2 linked regions of the Coturnix japonica genome follow. The protein of the gene in region 1 purifies or fractionates together with the protein of each later gene. This does not show direct contact. Links are inferred from orthologs where the notes say so. Each region holds a gene or a part of one and is shown in the gene's direction. Other genes may lie near its edges.

The links.
Region 2: the proteins of MYOD1 (region 1) and KAT2B purify together in Homo sapiens (affinity purification with western blotting; 4 studies listed by BioGRID and IntAct, with this or other methods). This does not show direct contact. The link is inferred for Coturnix japonica from reciprocal best matches to the Homo sapiens genes MYOD1 and KAT2B.

Annotation. Positions count from the first base shown.
Region 1 is NC_029520.1:16,192,478-16,204,048, forward strand, and holds MYOD1 (myoblast determination protein 1 homolog), read left to right. Parts: upstream 1-6,307; 5' UTR 6,308-6,479; coding exon 6,480-7,040; intron 7,041-8,161; coding exon 8,162-8,240; intron 8,241-8,867; coding exon 8,868-9,121; 3' UTR 9,122-9,562; downstream 9,563-11,571. Other genes in the region: uncharacterized protein LOC107314671, read right to left, coding at 3,183-3,240; ferritin light chain-like, read left to right, coding at 386-532, 813-1,319. UniProt on the Homo sapiens protein: Acts as a transcriptional activator that promotes transcription of muscle-specific target genes and plays a role in muscle differentiation. Together with MYF5 and MYOG, co-occupies muscle-specific gene promoter core region during myogenesis.
Region 2 is NC_029517.1:32,844,750-32,856,152, forward strand, and holds the start of KAT2B (histone acetyltransferase KAT2B), read left to right. Parts: upstream 1-5,781; coding exon 5,782-6,018; intron 6,019-11,403. Other genes in the region: PP2D1 (protein phosphatase 2C-like domain-containing protein 1), read right to left, coding at 1,173-1,195. UniProt on the Homo sapiens protein: Functions as a histone acetyltransferase (HAT) to promote transcriptional activation. Has significant histone acetyltransferase activity with core histones (H3 and H4), and also with nucleosome core particles.

The DNA of each region.
Region 1 (11,571 bases):
ATTTTTCACCTATGTGTTTCCTCTTCTGGGACATGCCTTAAAAATTATTTGTATTCCAATTCTTTTTAACAAGAAAGAATAGCAGTACTGGAGAAAGACAATGGTACTATATCAGTACTACAGTTACCTCTCTAGAATCATAGAATCACCAAGGTTGGAAAAGACCTAAAAGATCATCCAGTCCAATCATTCACCTATTACCAATAGCTCCCACTAAACCATCTCTAATTAAAAGCCAGAAGGATTTATATGAAGATCTTCAAAGAGATCGTACTGGTAGATAAAGTTGCATTGGAGAAGCCTCCTGGACTGTGACAAAGCCCTGCTTCTAACAAATCTTAACATTCTGGGTGTTGTTTTGTTTTTGTTTGGTTTGGTTTTTTAGGGTGAATATTTTGATCAGTCACATGTGGCTCTACCAAATGTTTCAAAGTTCTTCCTGCATCAAGCTCTGGAAGAGAGAAAAGCCGCAGAGGCTTTGATGAAGTATCAGCAAGAAAGAGGGGGCCATTACTGTTCTAAAACCATCCAGGTATGTGGTAAGCAATGAGCTTTCAAGCATTTGCAATGAGCAGTAGTTACTCTAATTTCTTGCATTATGGTTTTGGTACTTCAGATCTCTGCATTCACTCCCTTAGATTTCCAGGTATAATTTTTAGGAGTTATAAAATCCTAAAAGAAATGCTCCAGACTGGGAGTTTTAAATCCTAATGTGATTTCTTTAGAGGAAGTTGCAGGAAAATTGTAAATGCGGTCAGATGAGCTGTTCTTCTGAATAAACTGAATAAATGTAATTCTGTCTTTGTTTCTAGAAACCAAACTGTGACTATGCTGTCGGTCTGATGAAAGCTCTGGAACTAGCTATGGTGCAGTGGAAAACTCTGACACGGTACTTTGAAGAGCTTTATGCCCTAAGCATTGAAAACGCAGACCCTCATAGCGCAAGCACTATCAAGAAACAGTTTATCGAACCCAAAATCCGGAAGATCAAGATGATGGGAGATCTCCTGACCAATGCTCGCAGGCTTGATTGTTCCCAAGATGGCAGAAATAGTCTTGGGGATTACTTTATGGACCGGTTGCAGAAAGAGTTCAGAACAAGTATAGAGCCAGATTCTAGTCAGCAGTGCAGCCCCTGTCCGCCTCTCCAGCAGTGTGCAGGAGCTTCAGAGGGTCTGAAGCGACCACAGAAAGAATTTTCCCAGCTTGGGAACAGCATAGGGCCAATATATGCAACCATACACTGCACTGCCACGTTGCCACAGTGTAATAATGATGGGATAGGAGCAAAAATGAAACAGGGGAGGGAGGTACTTTAATGCTGTGGCTCTTATCACTGTGGTCCAGCTCTGAAGGCAGACCTGTACAGAGGAGGCTGGCCTGGAGACTGGAATTTGGGAGACATGATGCTTTATCACTTCTCCCTCTTTACACTCTGTCCTTCATCCTCATGAGAGCCACAGCTCAAAATCCAGCCCATTCCATTGTGTTCTTTAAATGCCAGTAAGGCCGCTAGTTACCAAAGCTGACAGAATTCAATGCATTTTTATCTATGCAATTCTTCCTAGAAACAAAAAGCATCTAGGCCTCTTCTGTCTTAAACTATAGGATTAGCTTAAGCAAATTATTTTAGCAATATATACAACTTTTATTAAAAACAAAAAGAACTTAAATAAAAAGAAGCACATATATGGGAGAAAACCCAAAGATTTAGTTTTATAATATCAGATATTTTATATTAGAAATTTTATATCAGTATACTAATACAATGTAATGAATTTTTTAAAAGACTTGCTTTGAAACTAGGCATTATTTGCTTATTTCTATCATAGTAGCAGTTAAAATAAGTAGTCCAATTCATTCACTTACAACCCAGCTGTTTCTTTGTTTGTGTACTTCTCCAAGATGAAGGATGCAAACACTTCCTCAATGGCAGGAATAAGACCAATGCTCTTAGGCACGTGGTTTAGCTCTTATATTGTCCTGTGTGGAGTCAGGAGTTGGACTCAATGATCTTCGTGGGTCTTTACCAACCCTGGATATTCTGTGATTCTAAATTCCTTCCATTCACCTCCTACAGGAGTGCCTCTCTTTCTCTATACTGGCTACCAAGGATCACCTAGGAAGACCAGCTGGCTAGCTCAGCTGCCTGCAGCTAGGTTGTGCATTGGGTTTTACATGTTATATACCACATTTTTATGCAATTGGGGTTTGCTTCCTTGAAAGATTCTTACTTTTATGTAACATTACAGACAGTGTTTCTATAATGTTTGAAAATAAATTCAGTTCCATAGTAAAAAATGGTACTTTGCGTTTATGCTGTATTCCTCATTTTATATTACAAGCGTGACAGTACTTTCCAAGAGATTTTGTGTGCGTCTATGAAATGACACCAGTACTTAGCTGTGATCGAGAAAGTTGCACAGATGAATTTAAAGATGAAAGCAGTAGACCACAGAATGAAAATAAATGCCAGAAGACTGTATTAAGGTGACAAAGAAGCACAATAACACACTTTCAGTAAGTGCTTTGTGACTCCCTTACACCGCTGCAGTTAATAACCCATTTCTGTAAAGCTGTTTAGAGCACTTAATTTCTGTTAGTGTTGCAACATGACAGATGATTACAGCACTGATGCTTTCCCCATCTTTCTAGTGCAATGACTCAACTTTTTTTTTTTTTTTTTTTTGTCTTTTAGTTGGGGAAAATTACTTTAAAACATCTCCTGTATTCTCCAGCAAAAATACTGCATTGTGCCACAAGAATGGTTTGAAAAGCTTTTAGCAACATGCTGGATTTGTCTGTTTGGGGTGGCTGCTCTCAAATACAGCAGTAGTTTAACAGATATTTCCATCTGGGCCGGATTCCAACACCCACCTTCACGCTGAGCATACCTTATTCAACAATTAGTTCCACTGACTGCAACTCAACATGAATAAGAGCAATGGAATCCGTTCTTCTCAGTATTAATACATAGCTCACTAAGTATGAATGGAGAAAAACTGCTAGTTGGGTTATTAGCTAGTGCCACATAGCTAGTACAGGCAATGTTTGATATACAACAGTCTTCTTTAAGATTTGCTAGCCTACAATACAGGAATTGGTTTCAAGCACTGAAGACCTTAAATGAATTCAAACAGAACAAGGAGCCCAACATTTAAACTTTTCAATGTAAGACTTACTTGCTGCTTCTTTTCCCCAGAAATACTGCCATATGTGCTTCTCAGAGACTCTTCTCATCTTTATCTTTGTACTTTTTCAGATTTTAGGCCTTTATTCTCTCTCTTCCAACATACTTTCTGGACTCTGCCTGAAGAGACAGTTCTATTAATTCTAGGTAATCTCACCATCAGCTGTTTTCCCAGTGTATCCTCTGAAAAAGAAAAAATCAGTTACTGTAGATAACCAAAGCTTTTCTTGTCCACGTGACGCTTGTGCTGTGAGGCATGTGTGTCTGTGATCTCTGTCAGCAGAACCCATCCACTGTGTACAGGATGATCCTCTCCATGCTTCGCAGTGCAGGAAGTACAACCTGCAACTCTCTTCTCAGCTTCATTTCAACCATGCCCTGACAAAATGAGATGTAGGATCAGTGTGAAACAAACAGGTATAAAGTCAACAGCATTTAAAGCAACTGTACAGATACTCTTCCACTGCTGAATGCTGTCATACATGTACTCCGTATCTGTTCTTACAAAGCAAAGCCCAAATTATCCAGAACAGTTGCAGAAACATCGCTGCAGTAAATATAGCATTCAAACTGGAAGCTCTGAAGAGACCTATTCTTTACTTAAAATTATGAGTCACAGCAACAGAGGCTTTGAAACAGGAATCAAAAATGGTGCATTTCTAAATGCTGCCATAAGAAATTCCTGTGGTTGTATGGAAAGGGAGATAGCTGCTGTCTGCAATCAGAGTGAGGAATTCACTTCAAGTCTCTTCAAGTGCCATATCCTTCCTCTTCTCTGGCCGCACAAAATTGAGAAGAGCATCTTGCAATACTATTCTTTGCAAAGACTTGTTTCTGGCCCATAACATCTATACGGACAAAACTATCCTTGGGCAAAATGCTAGAAAGACAATTTGAGTTTTGGTGCCAGCTGCAAGGAACGCATCCTCACAGAATCAGAGGCCAGAAGGGCCTGGAGATGATCTAGTCCAACCCCCTGCTAAAGCAAGTTGAAGCTGCTCAAGGGCAGCTTCACTGCAAGACAATTCTGAGCAGAACTCACCAGCTGGTCATGGCTTTCTCCTGACTTTTCCACTTAGGTGAGCTCATGCACTTCCGAGCATTCATAGGCAATTACTGGCAGACTCCCAGTATTGCCTGTCCAAGTCTCACCATCTGTTGCCACTCTGCCCAAATTAACCACTGCGCGTGCCAGTCCTCAAATGCCTTTTCCTGGGGTCAGATACAACCTAGATGCACACTCACAGTGGCAGATGACGCTGTAGCTTTAAGTAAATATTAGCAAAATTAGCATTTCCACTAATTAAACCAATGACCTGAGCAAAGTTCCATTGTTTTGAGTGGGTCAGCAAGGCCAGCACCAATGCTCGACAGCCAATGCACAGCTGTTAAACCATGCAATGTTTCTCATTTCTACTTGTTTTGTCTTATAGTATACAAAACATTGTTTTGAATACAAGTTATTTTTACTTTAGCTGTTCTATAAAGGTTAAAACAAACATTCTTGTTCTCTGCTTCCAGATCAAAGAGCCTCTATGATAACAGTGGAGTGTTTCCATGAGCTTGCTGCTCTGCCTCAGAACAGCTGGGAGATACACTTCTGCATGTGTAGGGCTGATCAATAGCTGCTCTGGATACAGTGAAAGAACAAACTTGTACAGAGCCCAAAACATCTACTTAAATAAATAAATAAATAAATCTTTGGGGTAATGACAGAATGTGACTAACAATTCTTACCTTTATCTAGACTCAATAAAAAACTGAATGACAGAACAACAGAAGAATCCGCTGTGGTGACAGCCCATCTGAGCTGCCACAGGCGTCGGGACCATGGACCCAACTGATGTTCCATCACCTTCTGAGATGCTCTCAGCTTTGCTGCAGAGCGAGCTTTGTCTTTGATTTTAAAGGAGTCCGAATGTCACCAGCATTTATAACTGCAGAACAGGAGATTAAAAGTGTCCATTAATCCCTTAATCATAAAGTTAATGAAATCACACAGCAGAAGTGCTGCAGTACTTCAGTACTGGAGAAAGACCTGAACTTTGCAGCTCAAGTGATATTCCAAACCCAGATTCCAGCAGCCTTGAGAGATGTTACCAAAGCCACACAACTCTTCCATATCCCCAACTCTGCCACAGCTTTCTGCCCAAGAAAGCTTATTGCACTCTTATTGCACAAGCAATTGGACTGCAGTGTGGTTACACGTGCGGCACAATGCCACTCGCGACGTAATGTCAATCTCTTCAAAGGCTTTGGAATTAAGGTAAGCTGAGCCTCGAGTTCAAAGGGGAACCTGAATCGCAAACGTACACATCTGAGCCGAGGTGCAAAGAGTCACTTACTGTAACTCAGGTGGGTCACAGCAGAACCACGGCCGCACGACTCAGCCCAGGAGCCGCGCGTTTCCCGCAGTCGCGGTGCCCCGTGCCTCAGGCCAAGCTCCGATAACCGTGCCCGAGCCCCGCCCGACCCCTCGCAGCTCCGGGGCACGACCCGTCGATGGCGGCACCCGTCCCCATCCTCACACCTCGTGGTGCGGGCGCTCCGCTGGGGTTCTGACAGAACAGCTCCCGAGCGGCGTCACGCGCCCGAGCGCCGTCAGAAAGCACGCGGCAGCAGCCCCGGCGCGTCGCTGCGGGGCGAAGGACGCGGCGCTCCGCGAGCCGCCCGTCGGGCCCGGAGCCTCTTCCCGCAGCTCCGACGGGGCGGTTCGCTCCCGTTCCCTCCGCTTTCCCCGAGCTCCGCCGACGGCCGCGGGCCGCTACTCCCCCCTGCAGGCGGCCGCGCCGCGCCGCAGCCCCGACCCCGTCGCTGTCCTCGCCCCGCCGCCCCGGCTCGTCGCGCCGTCCCCCGCTCCCGGCTCCGTCGCGGACGCCCCCGCCGTTACCGTGCGGCCGCGGCCGTCCCTCCGGCGAGCGGGGATCCGGCACCCGAGGGCCGCTCGGCCCTCCCCGCGCCGCCGCGCGCAACTCCCCCTTCCCCCCCGCAGGGGGCCGAGGCTCCGGGGGCTCCGTTAGCCGCGGCCCCCTCCCCGCCCCGCCGCGCCCCGCCCCGGCCCGCCGGGGGCTCCGGCATAAATACGGCCCCGAGCGGCGCTCCCGAGGCGGTGCGGCTGGGGAGGGGTCGGCGGTGGTGGTGGTGCCAGCAGTTACAACCCGCGCCGGTGGCCTCGCCTGGGACAGGGTGCGAGGACCCCACTCCCTGCCTGCCTTGCACAGACACCCTCGGGACCCCCCCGCGCCCCCCGACCACCCTCTCGCCCCGCTCCGCATTCCCGATCGCCCCCATGGACTTACTGGGCCCCATGGAAATGACGGAGGGCTCCCTCTGCTCCTTCGCGGCCGCTGACGACTTCTACGATGACCCGTGCTTCAACACATCGGACATGCACTTCTTCGAGGACCTGGACCCCCGGCTGGTGCACGTGGGTGGGCTGCTGAAGCCTGAGGAGCACCCGCACCACCACGGGCACCACCACGGGCACCCACACGAGGAGGAGCATGTGCGGGCACCCAGTGGGCACCATCAGGCCGGCCGCTGCCTGCTGTGGGCATGCAAGGCCTGCAAGAGGAAAACCACCAATGCTGACCGCCGCAAAGCCGCCACCATGAGGGAACGGCGGCGGCTCAGCAAGGTCAATGAAGCCTTCGAGACCCTCAAGCGCTGTACCTCCACCAACCCCAACCAGCGTCTGCCCAAGGTGGAGATCCTGAGGAACGCCATCCGCTACATCGAGAGCCTGCAGGCCCTGCTGCGCGAGCAGGAGGATGCGTACTACCCAGTGCTGGAGCACTACAGCGGGGAGTCAGATGCCTCCAGCCCTCGCTCCAACTGCTCCGATGGCATGGTGAGTGCCCTGGGCAGGAGATGAGGTCCTTCCTCCTCATAGTTCAGCAGCAGAGGGAAGCAGGGTCCCCACACGCCAGGTCTCTGGGAAGAGAAGGGAAGTCTGTTAGATTCCTGGGAGGAAGGTTAGGCAGTCCCTGTGTGCCTGCAAACACAATGGCCTCCAGGCACCTCTGATTTCATGCTCTGCTGTCTGTCCCTCAAAGGACAGCAGTGAGGCAGGTCCCCTTGGGTGTGGAAATTGCAGGGGAAAACGTGCAGGGCAACTGGTCAAGCATAGTGTTTGCTTTCTATCATTCATCGGGATAACAGGAGGATGGCCCAAGTAACAGGAGTTGTTTTCCTTGACCCTTAAGAAGGCCAGCTCTCCTCTCACTTGACCCCTCTGCAGACATTTACCAGCAAGAAAAAGAGTCCAGGCTTAGAGCCTTGGGTTATGGGGAGGGGACAAGGGTGGCTGCAGGACTGTTGCCGAGAACAGGACCACAAGGACACTTCTGCATTTTTTTTTCTAGTGGGGATAATAATCACTGAGCTGAGTTCTTGGGACTGTGAAATAGTTGGCAGGTGGGAGAGAGTTACAGAAAGATCCGCTCCTCAAAATGCAGCCTTTTCATTGTAGATTCACATACTGAACAGAAATATATTGGTCAGGATTTGGCGGTCTTTCTTTACAAAACCAGAGTAAGAAGGGAAACTGCAGGAAATCCAAAGGTAGAGTAGCGGCTTTCTCAGAGGAACTCAGGTTTGGAAAAGTCTTCCAAAGTTAGATCAAAAGAATTCCTCTCCTGAGCTTCCTTTCCTAAACTGACCATACACGTAGGGCAGTACTGATGAGTTTGCTGGAAAACCTCATCTCTGGTAAAGCCACAGCTTCTGTCATAGCAATGGTGGTAATTTGCCTTTGGAACAAGCATGGATTTACACATTCTGGTGTAAATCCATTCCTTTTTTTTTTTTTTGGCAAGTTAATTCTGTCTGCTTCATTCTACAACACAAACTTGACAGCATTTCAGCTGAGAGCGATTGCACAGATTAGCTACTGAAATACAAGATCAGATGGTTCCTGGACCTGTGGAAAAGGCAGCCCTCCAGCCTCACTCAGATTATTCTCCTTTCCAGATGGAGTACAGCGGGCCGCCTTGCAGCTCTCGCAGGAGAAACAGTTATGACAGCAGCTACTACACAGAATCACCAAATGGTGAGTATCTACTGTTGAGAATATGTCTATGTGAAGCACGGAGGATGGGGTCAGCCATTGCCGTAGCCTCCCCATGGCCTTCTCCATCCCCAGTCACTTAGCCAGGCTGGGGAAGGAGCCTGCCTGTCCAGCCAGTGAGCTGCTGAGGCTGGCAGAAGCACTGGATTTCATGTAAATGTATTTGCAAGTGCAGGGGATATGTTATATCTGCATTTCCCATTTTACAAATAGAGTGTCTAGGAACACATCCTTCTCTGCTGCTGATTTTTAGTCTTAACCCCATTTTGCCTGAAGCCTGTTCTAACCAGGTATCATTGATCCAAACTGGAGAGATGCCTGATGGAATTCCAGTCTTCCATTCCTTTTCTGAGGACTGAAGTAGAGCCCTGGATCCACCCTCCCTGAATAGCAGCCTGTTTCACTTGGGTCTCTCCTCTGTTTCACAGATTGCAATCCATTTCCTGATAACTGGCATCCTTCACTCATACCCATTTCCTCTGATTCTTTGCATGCTCTCAGATGTGCACTTCAGCCACTTAGTGGGCTTTTCATTTCTTTATGAAAGAACTACATCCTATGATATAAGTACACAGTGGGTAAATGGATCACATTTGCCTTTGTTTTCAGACCCAAAGCATGGGAAGAGTTCTGTTGTTTCCAGCCTCGACTGCCTTTCAAGTATTGTGGAGAGGATTTCCACAGACAACTCCACATGTCCCATACTGCCTCCAGCTGAAGCTGTTGCTGAAGGGAGTCCCTGTTCCCCCCAGGAAGGAGCAAGCCTGAATGACAGTGGAGCCCAGATTCCTTCCCCCACCAACTGCACCCCGCTTCCCCAGGACAGCAGCAGCAGCAGCAATCCAATCTACCAAGTGCTATAAAGGCAGGTCCAGCCGGACTGCGCCGAGAACAAATTGCTCCGTTCAACCATGCTCCAAGACCTGCTTTCTAAAACAGAAAGGACTTCATGGCTTGTTCCAGTTTGAAAGTATCATGCAAAATTCCTTCTATAACTTCTCAAACCTGTATTACTGCAAAATACACTTAGTTATTTATTGGTTGTTAAACTGAAGTTATTTAATATGTCTAAAGATAAAAGCATATACGGGGAAATGGCCAATGTTTAATCTGGGCTTTGGAGAATAGGAACCTGGCTCTTGAATATGGAGGAGAAGAGAAATCTACAACAGCTGTGGCATGACAGATCCTTCTTCTTATTACCCCTGTTCTGGCCAAAATAAGGTTGTGGACCATTTTTTATAAAACTTTTTGTATAATTGTAAATAAGAGTTGCTTTGCAAAAAAAAAAAAAAAAAAAAAAAAAAAAAAAAAAAAAAAAAAAAAAAAAGGAGAGAAAAAGGGAAAAAATGAAACAAAAGCTAAAATTAAAAACAAAACAAAAATAGGAAAAATTTTAAAAATATATATTTAATGTTGCTTGGTTTGTTGTGCCAAACTTTAACTTTATATATTTATACGATGTGATTGCCAAGAATGTTTTCAACAGTATTCTAAATAAAGACCCTTATTTATAAAATCTGTGGCATTATCTTGACTTTCATTAGAGCCTCTAGAGTTACTGGTGCATTTAGGAGCAGTGTTAAGATCGCTGCCTTGGCAGGAAGAAGATACAGGCTCTGATTCAGCAAAGAAATCAAGTGCTTGCTTCAGCTGCGCTACATTCAGTTACTTTGTGCAAAGGCATTGCTGAAAAGGGGTCGACTTTCTTCCTGTGGTATCCCAGTGAGTTCTGAACCAAGTCTTATGTGTCAGTGGTCTTCACTAAGAATGTCTGTGAGGTAAATTAAGCATATTTGTCTTGTTCCCCCAAGTTCACTATTACATGACTAGAGCTTACAAAGCTGTGATAGAAGTGGGAGTCCTAATAAATTAGACTCTCGAGATTCCATTGTAGCTACTATAAATTAAATTATAAGTTAAAGCCTTACGATGACATTTTGCAAGATCAGGTACTACATTCCCAATCAAATATACAGATTTTCCATTCAAGATGTAATTTTAAGTGCCTATACCATATTCATATACACTCAGGTACTAGAAAAGACTTAGAAGTAGCTTTCTGTCACAAAGTTCAAGGTACAGATCAGAGTTTTCCTCAAGTTCAGGTTGGAATTTAAGCCCAAGATTGGCAGTTTTAATTTGGATTTGAACTTTAAGCATCTCTGGCAGCACTGCTCCAGGGATTTGCTTCTTGTTTAGAGCCTTTCTAAAAATAACTGGTGGGGTATGTTTCATTCAGTGTATACATGTAACCTTGCAAGCTTGCCACAAAACTGAAAAACATGAAGCTCTAAGCAGATTGTCATTGATAAGAAAGTATCAGGGTGTATGTGTACATTTGGACTAGAACAGCCAGTTGCTGGAGCCCACACACAACAACCTGCTCCTTGTCACATTGCTGTGGTTCTTGTTTAAAGAACAGTCAAACAAATAAACAACAGATACCATCATCAGCTCTAAACATTTGATGACAGATCAGTCACTGTATTCTCCCTTAGGTGATTAGTACTGAAGGAATTTGTGCAGCTTGTACCTCTTCAACAGGAGGAGCAGCTCCTCAAAGAGAGAAGCAACTCATGGGCTCCCTCGTGGTGTGCAGTGGTGACCACGGTGGATGATGAATGAGGGCACAGAGGACACAGGGCTGCTGTGCAGGCATGTTGAACTTGGCTGGTCATAGAGGCTGGGGCAGGACTGCCCCCTCAGCACCTTAGCTAACATCCAGCTTTGTAAGGGTCTCCTGTTGGCTTTGCTGTGGGCAGAAAACAAAGTCCAGCTTTGCTGTGGGCAGAAAACAAAGTCCAGCTTGTAAATGTTCAGCTTTTCCTTTTTTTATTCCCCTTATTGGCGTTCATTCCCCACCCCCACCCCCTTCCCCCCCAAAACTAAGAATTAAATGAATTTCGGTGTTATAATTCATACAAGCATGAATCAGGAGCAACTGCTAAGACCAGAAAAAAGTCCCACTTTAGTCTAACTGGAGGCAGTGTCAATAACTCACAAAAACTAAGGAAACACAGTCAGATCCTCACAAATCAAAGCTTCCCATACAGGTGATAATTCCATTGCCTCTAGCAAACAATCAGGCCCATGCACAAAAGCTGCTTTTGAGAAGTACTACAGACCTTGCCATCCCCCTGCTCTGAGGCAGGTGGAAGTGTCATTACTTCAAATGTACAGCCATAGTAATGGCAATCAAAAAACATTTTGCTGGATCAGGAGCTAAGAAGACTCAACTAAGAAGACCCTTAACACAAAGCTCTCCCTTGCCTCACTGTGAGACCCCACGGGGCACAATAGGAAGCACCCT
Region 2 (11,403 bases), on another chromosome or scaffold:
TTCAAGGGTAAATATTTTCTCTACTCATTGTGTTCCAGCTAAGAATGTCTTGGTCAGCTCTCAGTCTGGTTCCAACAAAGGTAAGCTGTCCTGCTGCTCTGCTTGCCCATCCACTGCCAAATGCAAGGGAAGAGGCCAAACAGAGGCAGAGCACATAGCTGTGGCCATGAGCTTGTGTGACAGAGCACCATTATCTCAGTAACCCTATTTCTGGCAGCACCCAGTAGCTCTGGCACTTCCAGATGCTTGCTGATCACACAGCAAGGAAACTACTTTTTTTCCTTCAGTTTTGCCCTGCAGAGTGGTGTTTGTTTTTTTGTTTCTTTTTTTAAGTAGTGAAGGTGTTGCTCATGGAGATTTAATGATCCAGGATTTGATTTGCCTCCAGAAGAGTCCCATGTGTCTTCATCTCCTTCTGACATGTCATTCATGTCTCCACCCAGAGCATGCTTCTTCCTGTCCTACCTTTGTCACAGTCAGCAATTAACTTAGTATCTAGCTGAAAACTCCTTCCTTCATGAACTCTGTATTACTGTTACAACTAGCTATGTGTCAGTGGCCTTAGAAAACTCATGGATGCTGAGAGCTGTGCCAGGAAGGTGCCTGCAGGCCTGAGGGTGACAGGAGGAGGCAAAGAAGATTTGTATGGAGATTGTTGTTTCACTGAGCTTGTAATCATGATTTTACCATCTAATGTGTATAAACAGGAGGCTCTGCTGCCAGTCTTCCTTGAACAGGTGAGTTCCTCAAACCTGCATACTGAAACTGTGACAGGGACTCTTGGCATCATTGGGACTGTGTGATGTGAGGAGCCAGTGTGAGCAGCTGCTGCAGCTGTAGTTTTGTCTGTGGCACAGTCCTATGCTTCTTTGCAAACCACACCCTGTCCTGGCAGGTGCTGCCAGCAGACCACACGTTTACTTGGGCTCTTTTTCATGTGGTCTTCTTTAGCCAGAGCAGCCGCAAGCGTATATCTAGCAGGAAAACACTTTTGTAGCTTTATTGAATGCATATACATCCTCTTAAAAACCCTTTATCTGAGAAGACAAAGCAGCTGTGTCCTATATCTTCCTCCAGGTTTAGGAGGGCTGGGCCTCCAAAACCTTCTGCAGGAAGAACCATGCATCTTCTCCTAGGTGTGTCAGCCTAAGTCAGCACAGCATCTGACTTACTGTGTCTCCAGCAGCAACAGCATAGCTCCACGGCAGCCCTGTTGTGAAAGGTGGGAAGTGATGGAGATGAACCCAGTGAGTCACATGCTGTACTGGGGCTTGGGAGCACTCCCTGCACTGGCCCTGATAATAGGCAAGAAAGAAGGAAGTGATTAATAATTAAAGTAATTATGGAATAAATTAAGGTAAATTGGCCTCCTTACCTCTTCATGTTGTCCAAAACTGGAACCGTGGGATTCCAGCCCCACTTGTTTCAAGCTGACATAATACTGCTTCCTGCATTAGGTTCTTTTAGAACTGCCTTTTGTGACTCTGTCCTCCCAGATAAAGGCTCTTCACCGAGAGACAAGCCTTTGAAGTGGGAGTTAAATAAACTTCCTCTACCACAGGTATCCTGCACCTGATGGTGGTAGCTGGACTTGTTGTGGTGGGGCAGAGGTGCCAGTCTGTTACCCACCAGAGGCCTACTGTAACAATCATCTTATGGATATAAAAGGGTTTTTCTCTTTGTGGCATCTCTGTTTGGATTGGTGTGACCTTAAGGGTTCAGCTTGGAGGAGTGAGGCCACATGATGACAGAGTTGGGGCTGTGTCAAGATATCAGGGATGGATGATACCACCACTGCCAGTGGGCCTGCTCCTAGTGGGGGGTGGTTGGGAAAAGAGCCCCAGTAAACTGCAGAGCTCTCTGTCTCACAGGAGAGAAGCAGAGGAGCAGAGAAAAGGATGTTAAGAGGATGGAGTAAACAAAACAAACAAAAAAAAAAATAGGGAGGCAGAAGGAAGAGGAGGTGAAGGAGAAATAGATGATGCATCCTGTGCTTGCATGAAGTAAGGTAGATTTTGCCACCTCATAACAACACAATGTGGGGCTGTAAAGTGTGGACAAAGACTGTGGTAAGTGAAGCTGCCAGCTTCGCCCTGATTTGTGCCTTTCAAAACTGGCTGTGGCCCCAAAGAGTACACTTGGGTAAGAAGTGAATAAAAATAGCAAAGTGCTTCAGCTCTGTCAAGAAGTTTTAGCAACACAAACAGCCACGGTTGTTGCACTGACATATTCTCCATTCTTTTTCTCTATTTCTTTTCCTTGAAAAAAAAAAAAAAAGAAAGAAAATTGAGTAATTGGGGTGTGATGTTCTCTTTAACAAAGGCCTACTGGTAAGTTTTGTAATCGGCATTATTAAAGTTGCAAGTAAGCACCATGGGAAGTTGACAAGCTGCTGGAGACATTATAATGAACGAAACTGTTGTGCTGTTGCTACTTCCAGTGACTCATAAAATATCGATAGCAGCCCAGAATGCCTGCTCCAAGAGGAGGCTGCTTCGTGCACTAAGAATGTGCTAATGAAAGAACACAATTGGTTTATATACTCTGAGCAATTCACTGGAAGGGGAAGATTTCCCCTTTCTCCATATGCATTGAATTCATGAATAAAATAGGTGGGACAGCAGGAGGAGTCCCATTATGAGCAAGAAGGGAGGGAGGGAGAGAGGTGTGGGTTGGGCACAGGGCTCTGCCTGGGCTGGGAGCTGCGGTGGGTGGGCTCATGGAGCTGGGCCCTGGGCAGGGAGGCTCCTCGGATTGCTATATATCAGGCTATTATTAGTTGAGTCATTTACGTGGCCTAGGTAGGCCCCAAAAGCTCCAGATGAGCAGGTATCAGGCACACCCTAAGCTTCATTATTATTGTTATTATTTTTCCTGTTCTGGCATTAGGAATACAGTCATCTCCTTTGCTAGAATAGTGTGTGCACTTCTGCATATAAGCTTGCCTGGTGTTCACAGTGAGTCCAGGCATACTGTGGATGTGATGAGGGATGGGAGCCTCAGCTGTGAGCAGAGCTTCCCTGGGGCAACAGCAGACTGAAATGAACCTGAAGAGTGTGGGATCTGGTGTGGACAGTGCCCAGCTCCTGGCTGTCTGTGGAGCAGATGATCAGATCTTCAAGAGTCACAGGGCTGCCCACCTGAGCTCATAAGCTGAGTAGGAGGCAGCTGGGCTCACCTGGCTGCCACTGCTCCTTGTTGGGAGCTACTTCCAAGCTTGGCTTCTCTTGAGCAAGCCCACTGAAATGCCCCAAAGGATGGAAACTGAAAGATGTAGCAAGGATTTTTAAGACAATGCTTTGAGTTTGATTCTAAGTTAATATCTTCGTATTACATACTTACTGATTGAAAATAAGCACTGCAGCCATTCTGTGGTGCTCAGATTGAGCTATGTGTATGTTATAAATGGGAAATAAAGACGCACTTGCTTGTGAATTCAGTCAACAGAAAAACTCAAATATATGAAACTGAGAATGGCGTGTATACTGTCATACGTCAAAGCACAATTTCTTCTGCTTTTCCAGTGTAGTGTGACTTGTTATTCCTGAAGCTACTACAAGGCAGCTCAGCCCATGCTCTACCCTATGTTTCTAGCCAGCAAATTATCTTTTCTTCATACCTTTGGCCATTCTTGCTGAAATTTTAACTGACCCTGGAGCAGTTTAAGGCAAATCCTTAGGGCTTGTTTTGTTTTAAAAAACATAATAGCACAAGTTAGATGGAAACAATGATTTAATAGATGTCACAGTTCTTTATGTCTCTCTCTCTCTGTGTATACATATGTATAAAGAGGACTTACCTATCTTCAGTTTAAGTGTGTTTTCTTTTATGTTGCTTCATCATGATAGCGGGCAACGCTGCATTTGTAGTGACATTGGTGTTTATAAATGTTACTATAGTAACTGTATCCGTAGCCACAGTCTGGTAGACTTACTGTTCTGGTAGACTTAGCGCTCTGGTTATCTGGCAAGCAGAAGGTAAAAAGCAGAGTTATGGTGTAAGGCAGACGTGCTCTTGAGGCTTCAAGGAGGAACTGTAGGAAAATTGAGTTTTGCCTTTATACTAATCATCATGCAGCTGTGCAATGCGGTTTTGCAATAGACCCTCATAAACACACTGTGAAATGTTTTGTTTCAGTGGAAGTAAAAACTTACTGGGCTTTTAAGAACCTTGAAAAGAGTGAGAAGAATAAGTTCATTCACCTGTGGAATGATCCTGCAAACACTTGCCTGTGCAGCTGCAGATCTAAAGGGCCTAACACGTGTTGGTGGAATCTCCCATCACAAAAATAGTAAACGCATGTTGAGAATTGAAACGGGGAATTCATTTGTACAAGGGCGTGCAAATGATAGTGGGTTACATAAATGCTATGAACCGTGGAACGGCTCCAGCAGCTCCCGTCAAGCCCAGCAGCCCGTGTCCCTCAGCGGCCCCCCCCGGCCGCTCGGAGCCAATTATTGTTTCGGAGGATCTGCTCGGTCGTCACTAAAGCGGAGCGGGGTAAAGCTGAAAGTGAAACTGCGCGGTAATAGTTTCATTTTCAAGTCGGGGGGGGGGGGGGAAGTGGAAACGTCGCCGACATAAAAGAACGCGAGCGGAGAGGCTGAGGAAACCGTTCTTCAGTGGTTGTTATCATACAGCGGCTGTTTGTCATTCTTTAAAAGCGATCCGACCACTTCCAGTAACAACAAAGAATCCTCAGATTTAACAGAAGCGACTCGGTTCATTCTTTTTATTCCCGTTAATCATCTGCTCAGCCAGGGGCTGCGTTTCCCTTCGCCTCCGAGCGTAGCGGCTTCTCCACCTTAACAGACCGTCTTAAAGCAGCGGGGATGGCAGCAGCCATCTTACGGGTCGCTGTCACATCTGCCAGGCTCCGGGGCAGCTTTAACGCCGGGCAGGGAACGGAACGGGGCAGGTGCAGAAATCGGGAGCTGCTATTTCTTTTTTACAAGTGCACGTTTTACACGCACCGGGATCCCCCTCCCTCTCGGTATTGCAGCCCGAGGTTGACACATCAAAGAGCTGCGGATCGCACACCAGAGCCCAGCCTCAATCCCGACCTTTTAAGCCGTGGTGCCCCGCTGTGTTAGTGCCATTTGCGGTTTCTCACGGCTCGACCGCGATTTTACATACGTGCGACAGAGCGTAACTTCCTCGGGACTCCTGCGCGCTCAGCGCAGTTACTGCTGTGGGATCACTTGCTTAATTGTTGCTTTCAATTAAAAGGCAATAGACATAGGATGACCCGCTGTCAACACTCGGTCCGGGACCAAAACGAGACGTTCCTGGACCATGCAGGGAACGGAGCAGAGGATCTTTGAGTTTTACGCTTAAAATAAACTTACAGATATGTATAGACTGACTTGGAAATCACCTACAAACCCGTTGAAAAGCAGCCGCAAAGTGCAAAGCGTGGAAAAGCACCGCTGAAGTCAAACAAACCGTGGCCCTACGAGGGGCAAGGGAGGCGCGTGGGCTCCGCCGGTGAAGCGGCGCTGCCGCCCCTTTGCCGGGCTCCTCAGCCCCTGGGGTCGGGCCCACACTCGGCGCCTGTGGCCGCCGCCCGCCACCGCTCAACTCCGCGCTTCTCAGCAGCGGGAGGCGGGCACCGGCTCCCCCCGCCCGGCGGGACAGGAGCCGCCCGCGGAGCGCCGGGGCCCTCCTCCCGCCCCCCCGGGGAGCAGCCGGCGGCGGCGGCGCGGCGAAGGGGAGGGTCTAGGGCCGGGCGCACCGCGCCGGCCGGCCGGACGGGCGGGCGGCAGCCGCCGCGCCGCGGGCATGGCGGAGGCGGGCGGCGGGGCCGCGGCCGGTGCGGCGGGAGGCGGCGGGCCTCAGCAGGGCTCCCCGGCAGCCGGGGGGGTGGCCGCCGCCTCCGCCGCCGGGGGCCCGGCTCGTAGCGCCGCCGAAAGCCCCGGGGGGCCTGGCTCGGCGCGCACGGCCGGGAAGAAGGCTCAGCTGCGCGCAGCTCCGCGGGCCAAGAAGCTGGAGAAGCTGGGCGTCTACTCCGCCTGCAAGGTACCCGGCCGCGAGCGCCCACCCGCCCACGGAGGGTGGGGATTGACGGAGGGAGGGGAAGGCAGTGCCGGGCCGGGCGGGAGGCAGCGCGGCTGTTAGCCCGGCGCTCCCCGCGGAAACGGCGGGTCCGGCAGAGCCTCGGGTCCCGCTGCCCCCGGAGCCTCGGGAACGGCGGCGTGCAGCCTCCGCCCAAGGGAAAGTTGCGGCCCCGCCGTCACGTAGCGCCCGACGGGGCCCTGCCCTCCGCCGCGCCCTGCCCCGGCCTCCTACACCGCCCTGCGTTGGGCGCTGCCGCCCTGCGCTGTGCTCCGTAACACGCCCGTCCCTACACCTGCAGCCCGCTTATGGACGCGGGGGGGCCGCGACCTGCCTGTTCTGTGCGGGTGCGGAGAGCGGTTAGAGCTGTGCTGCCCCGGGGCTCTGTGACAGCGGGAGCGGTATCGGTGCGTGTGCGGTGCAGGGCTCAGCGCAGGCCGCGCCGGGGCTGTCAGGGCGATTCCTGGATGCGCAGCGAGCTGACACGCTCCGGTTGGCAGCGCTGATGCAAAACACTCCAGTAATGCTCTCGGTGCTGAAAATAATTGAGCAGTTTGCTGGAAAAGTGTGTTTCTGTTCTTTCTGTTCCCTTACTTTGGGATTTCCAAGAAGGCATGAAGTGAATATCCCAACTAAATGCCCACTGACGCGAGGGAGCATCCCTGTGCAGGTCCGCTGCCCTGCTTGGTGATGTGAAGAGCTTGCTGTCTGCTGGAGCCATGTCGCAATACTGTCATTTGAGGGCAAGCTCAGAAAGCCACGTGCCTCAATGTCTCTGCAGTTCACCAATGTGTAAGCGTCTTTGCTTTGGCCTGGTTGAGTCCACGGCATGATGTGAGGTTACACTGTGTCAGTCAGTTAAAACCAGCCAGTCTGGAAACCTGCTCCTCTCTTGGAAGGTGGGGGAACGTGGTTTGAAGCTTTCCTAGTGCGATGAAACAGTGTCTCTGCACTCTGTGCCTCAGCAGCCCCTGTGCGCTGGAGGAGAGGTGGGTGTTTCAGGGAGGGCAGGGCCTGATGCCAGCCCTGCCAAACCTCTCCCAGGCTGCTGGTGGCACAGTGATCACTCACCTACTCGTGCCCTGCAGGGGTGTCTGTATTATCCCAAGGGTCCTGCAGGGAGGCCCACTTGGTGCTGTCTGGTGGACCTGGGTGTGGGGCTGGAGTACCCTGGGCTTCATCCTCATCCCTTGTCAGTAAGCAGGCACAGCACAGTACTCAGTGTGACTCCCTATGCGCATTCCAGTGCAAACCTGGCCTCTGCTACCTAACTTTCCTTCGGGAATGTACTGGCAGACAACATTCCTTCGGGTCTCAGAACATCAACAATGAGACACCCTTGTAAACTCATCAAGTGCTTTCTCCTGTGGGACAGGGAGAGGATGAAGCTGGGTGGAAGGATGTGTTGTTTTTCTTCCTGAACACCTGGCTCCAAACTGCTTGGGCATACAAGAGTCTGTAGCAGCACAGAGTGGAACATTGAGCTTTTTCTTACTCTGGGTTGCAACTCCTGTTCCACTTGTTCTGTGTGCGTGTGAAAGCTCAAACAGCCTATCTCTGAATGAGGTTTCTGTGGTAGCAGCCATGTTGATCTGCAGGTCTATGTAGAGCTGTATAAGTTGGAGGGCAGAAAATGTGTGACAGTTTCCTTAGTGTTAACAACCTTTGCCTAAGTAAAATTCACCCCACATTGCTGCTACTTCAGCACACAAAGTGTATTACAAGCTTAACCCCCAGAGATGCAGGGAATGGCAAAGACCGTGGGTTTGCTGGGGTGAGCAGCAGCGTGAGAAGATGGAGAGATGTCAGTGGCTGGGAGAATGCCTGGGGTGGGGGAGGAAAGGTGCCATGCTGGAGAGAAGGCTGCAAGTACTGCTGAGCTGAGTGAGAACTGAGGTTAGGGATCTGCTGCCCTGTCCTGGGACTGCAAATACATGTTTGCTTGTTTTTGTTTGAGTGGTTTGTTTTTGTTTTCCTGCTAAGGAATTGAGGCAGGAGAGTGGTCACCATGGAGCTTCACTGCTTGACTTTTCTCCTGTGAAATAAAAAGCTCGGGGTAGAAGGGCAAGAACAGACTCTTCTGTGTAAAACAGCCTTTTAAATGCCCGAGTCTGTGTGGGAAGAATGTGCATTCTGAACAATAAGAGATATGTAAGGAGTTGGCAGAGTATCCGTGACTTTTAGAAGTACACAGTAGAGCTGTATTTGCGCAGCATTTTGCATTTGGCAGTCACTATATCTGCACACATATGAATGACCGCATACATCGTTTTGGTTTTGCCCGGTGTGAAATTCAGCATTGGATACATGAGTTTGCAGCACTTTCCATAAAAGCGGCACTGTGTCGCTTACACACATCAATATGTTTAATGAAGATGAAGGAGGAAGTCTTTTTATTTTTTTTCACACTATTGGTTTGTGAAAACATAACTTTCTTTCCAGTCCCACTGGGAGTTTTTCTTTAAAAATATGTTGAAATAGGTGCTATTTTAGTAAGCTAGATTTTCTGTGCAATTGGTTATTTCTCACAGCGTATGTTGCAGTAATACCTAGATGCTTGTTAATGTAATTAGAGCCCTATCACTTAAGGCATTTGCACAAGCAGCAGGGAATAACACCTCCATAAAGACCCCGCGCTTTAAATAACCGAAACATCATGAGCAGGGCTGTGAGGGGATTTGGTCAAGGCCCCAGGAGTGGCAGAGTCTGAAGTGTGATCTGGATCTCTGTGCTGTTGTTTTCTGGAGAAACTGAGGAGACTATACAGGAAACCCAAACCTTCCTTATGATTGTTTGTGAAGTGAGATGAATATGTTTTGTGACTACTAAAGTCTGACTTAAAGCATCTTCATTTAAATCAAACACGAGATCTACCATTAACGTCACCAGGTGGGAAATGAATCCCTGTTTTTAATAAAAACCTTTATACAGTAGCCTACATCTATCCTGTAGGTGAGAGAAACCAGAACAAAAAATGTGACATAAAAAACCTGGACTGATCTACAGAGGAATAATGTGCTTAGAGCTGATCATCAAACTGTTTACTTTGTACTGTTAAAGGCAAATGGGTTGGCTGCTTTCCTGTTGCATAGAGTAGATCTGTGAGCAGCATCTGACTGCCTGGTTGCTGGGTGCTGTACACCAGAGTAGGAAAAATAGGCATTTAAATTTCATCCAGGTTTTTGTTGTGGTTTGTGTGGTGTTCTTTGTTACAGCAACAATTTGAGATTATTGTTGTAGGAGGCAGCTTGTTACATTAGGTTTTTCTGCTCGGCTTTTGTGCTGGGAGGAAAAGTAGTTTTTCTGGAGCAATTGTACGTGCTGGAAACAAGAGCCACAGTTCTGTGTATCTGCAGTGTGCTGAGTGAGCTTGGCTTTTTGGTTACTGGGCAGGGCAGGCTGCGTGGTTTGGAGCTGAAGAGAGCCCAGAGCAACAGCTGCTGTGAAATTCAGTTTTAAGGCTGCTGAAGTCTTTCACTTTGTAGTTAAGTTAGCTTGAAGCTTGCCTTCCTGTGCCTGTTTCACAACTCCAAAAGAGGATAGATTTTTTAGGCAATAAGGTATTGTAACAGTGCTCACTCATTTAGCCATCATAATTAAATAATAACAGCTTCCTAACAGGGCCTGGGGAGTGCAATGCTGTAACTTCCAAAGGCACTTCTTTCGAATGACATTAATGTTACCTTTCAAGATCCATTTTGGACTTTTGGACCTGACATGGGTATATTGGGTATTTTAAAGGAAATGGTAACTTTAATTTGTCCAGAGGTGCTGTTTTCATGGCCTTGAGCTATTGCACTATTCAGTTTTTCCCATTATGTCTAACATGGAAGGAATCTAAAAAATTGATTGAAAATACATCACTTTTCAGTTCAAAATGTACGTAATTTCCGCACTGGATTTGGGGGGAGTGTGTGGTTATTGTATTTAAAAATGCCAATTAAGATGCTGTGGTCATCCTTGGGCCTGGCAGGACGATGCAGGTGACTTTGTAGGCCTCAGTAAGCAGAAGTGCCCATCTTTCTGCAGTGTCTTTATCAGAGCTCGGCAGATGTCCCAGAAAACAAGACCCGAGGACTGGATGTGCAGCTTAAATGCTTCTTTTCCTTCCTCCTTCCCCCACTCCCCCCTTCTCACTCCCTAACTCTTTTGATCTTAAATGAAGTTTTTGTGGAGGTGAAGTCATACATTATTTTCAAATGAAAAGCAGATGAGTGAAAAAAAAAAAAAAAAAAAAAAAAAAAAAGAAGAAAACTAAAAAGCTGAAGATAGTCAGGGAAAGGACTGAATTAACAGAATACAGTGGAAGACTTGAAACCACTCTGCAATTGAAGTCACTGAGGAATGCACATTGAATATTCAGTGCAAAATACTTGCACTGTCAACATCTACAATGAAGGCTTAGTTTTAAAGAGGACCCTTCTGGGCTACGTTCCCTGTTAGTTAACAGAACTTTTATGATGATTCTGGTGTTTTACAGAGAGAATAAAGGGAAAAAAAAAAATAAAAAAAAAGAAGCAACCAACACCCTGAGTTGTTAGAGAAAGATCTCTGGAGTAATTCAGACAATACAAATTAACATCTGCTTCAAAGTATCTGGCAAGGAAATGCTACCAAGGGCTGAAAAAGATCTGCCACTGAACACACTGTTTTTATTCTGCTGTGCGTGGGTTGATATTTATTTTTGGCAGCTTAACTGAGCTGTTATCGCCATTCATACATCTGTTTGTTTGCATCTTTGCTGTTAATTATCGTGTGACACTAAAGTTTGTGTAGTTACTCACTGTTTATAGATTTTTAGGCTTTGCCATAAACATTGTGTGGTGAGCTTCTGCAAAATTGCTTTCACTTGGAAAAGAATTTCTCAAAACGCTTGTGCCAAGGTTTGTGGGTTGTTTTTTTTTTGTGCATATCAGTTTTCACTGCGGTATGGTTTAAGGCAATTAATAATGAGCATTGTAATATATCAGTAATTTACATAGTTTAATGTTTGTTCAATGTCTGTATGGAAAGGATCAAATCTTGCTTCCCTAAACTAATATTCATTCTTTTTTGTTTGTTTGTTTGTTGGTCTGCTTGGGAACTTAAAACTCTCTCTTGAATTTTCTTTGGCAATATTCTCATTTTCTGACAGTCTTCTCAGTTTCTCTTCTTGTTTTAACTGCAAAAAACTCTCACGGCAACATTATCTCTTTCACAAAGCAAATGTGGATAGATTATTCGGCTTTCTTTTTGCCTAACTTGAAGTGCTGATTGAAAATGTGGCTTCAAATCATCTCACTTGCATTCCTAGTCCTCACAACAGGGCAATCCTTGGTTCTCAGGTGCCATTCAATCACTGTACTCTCT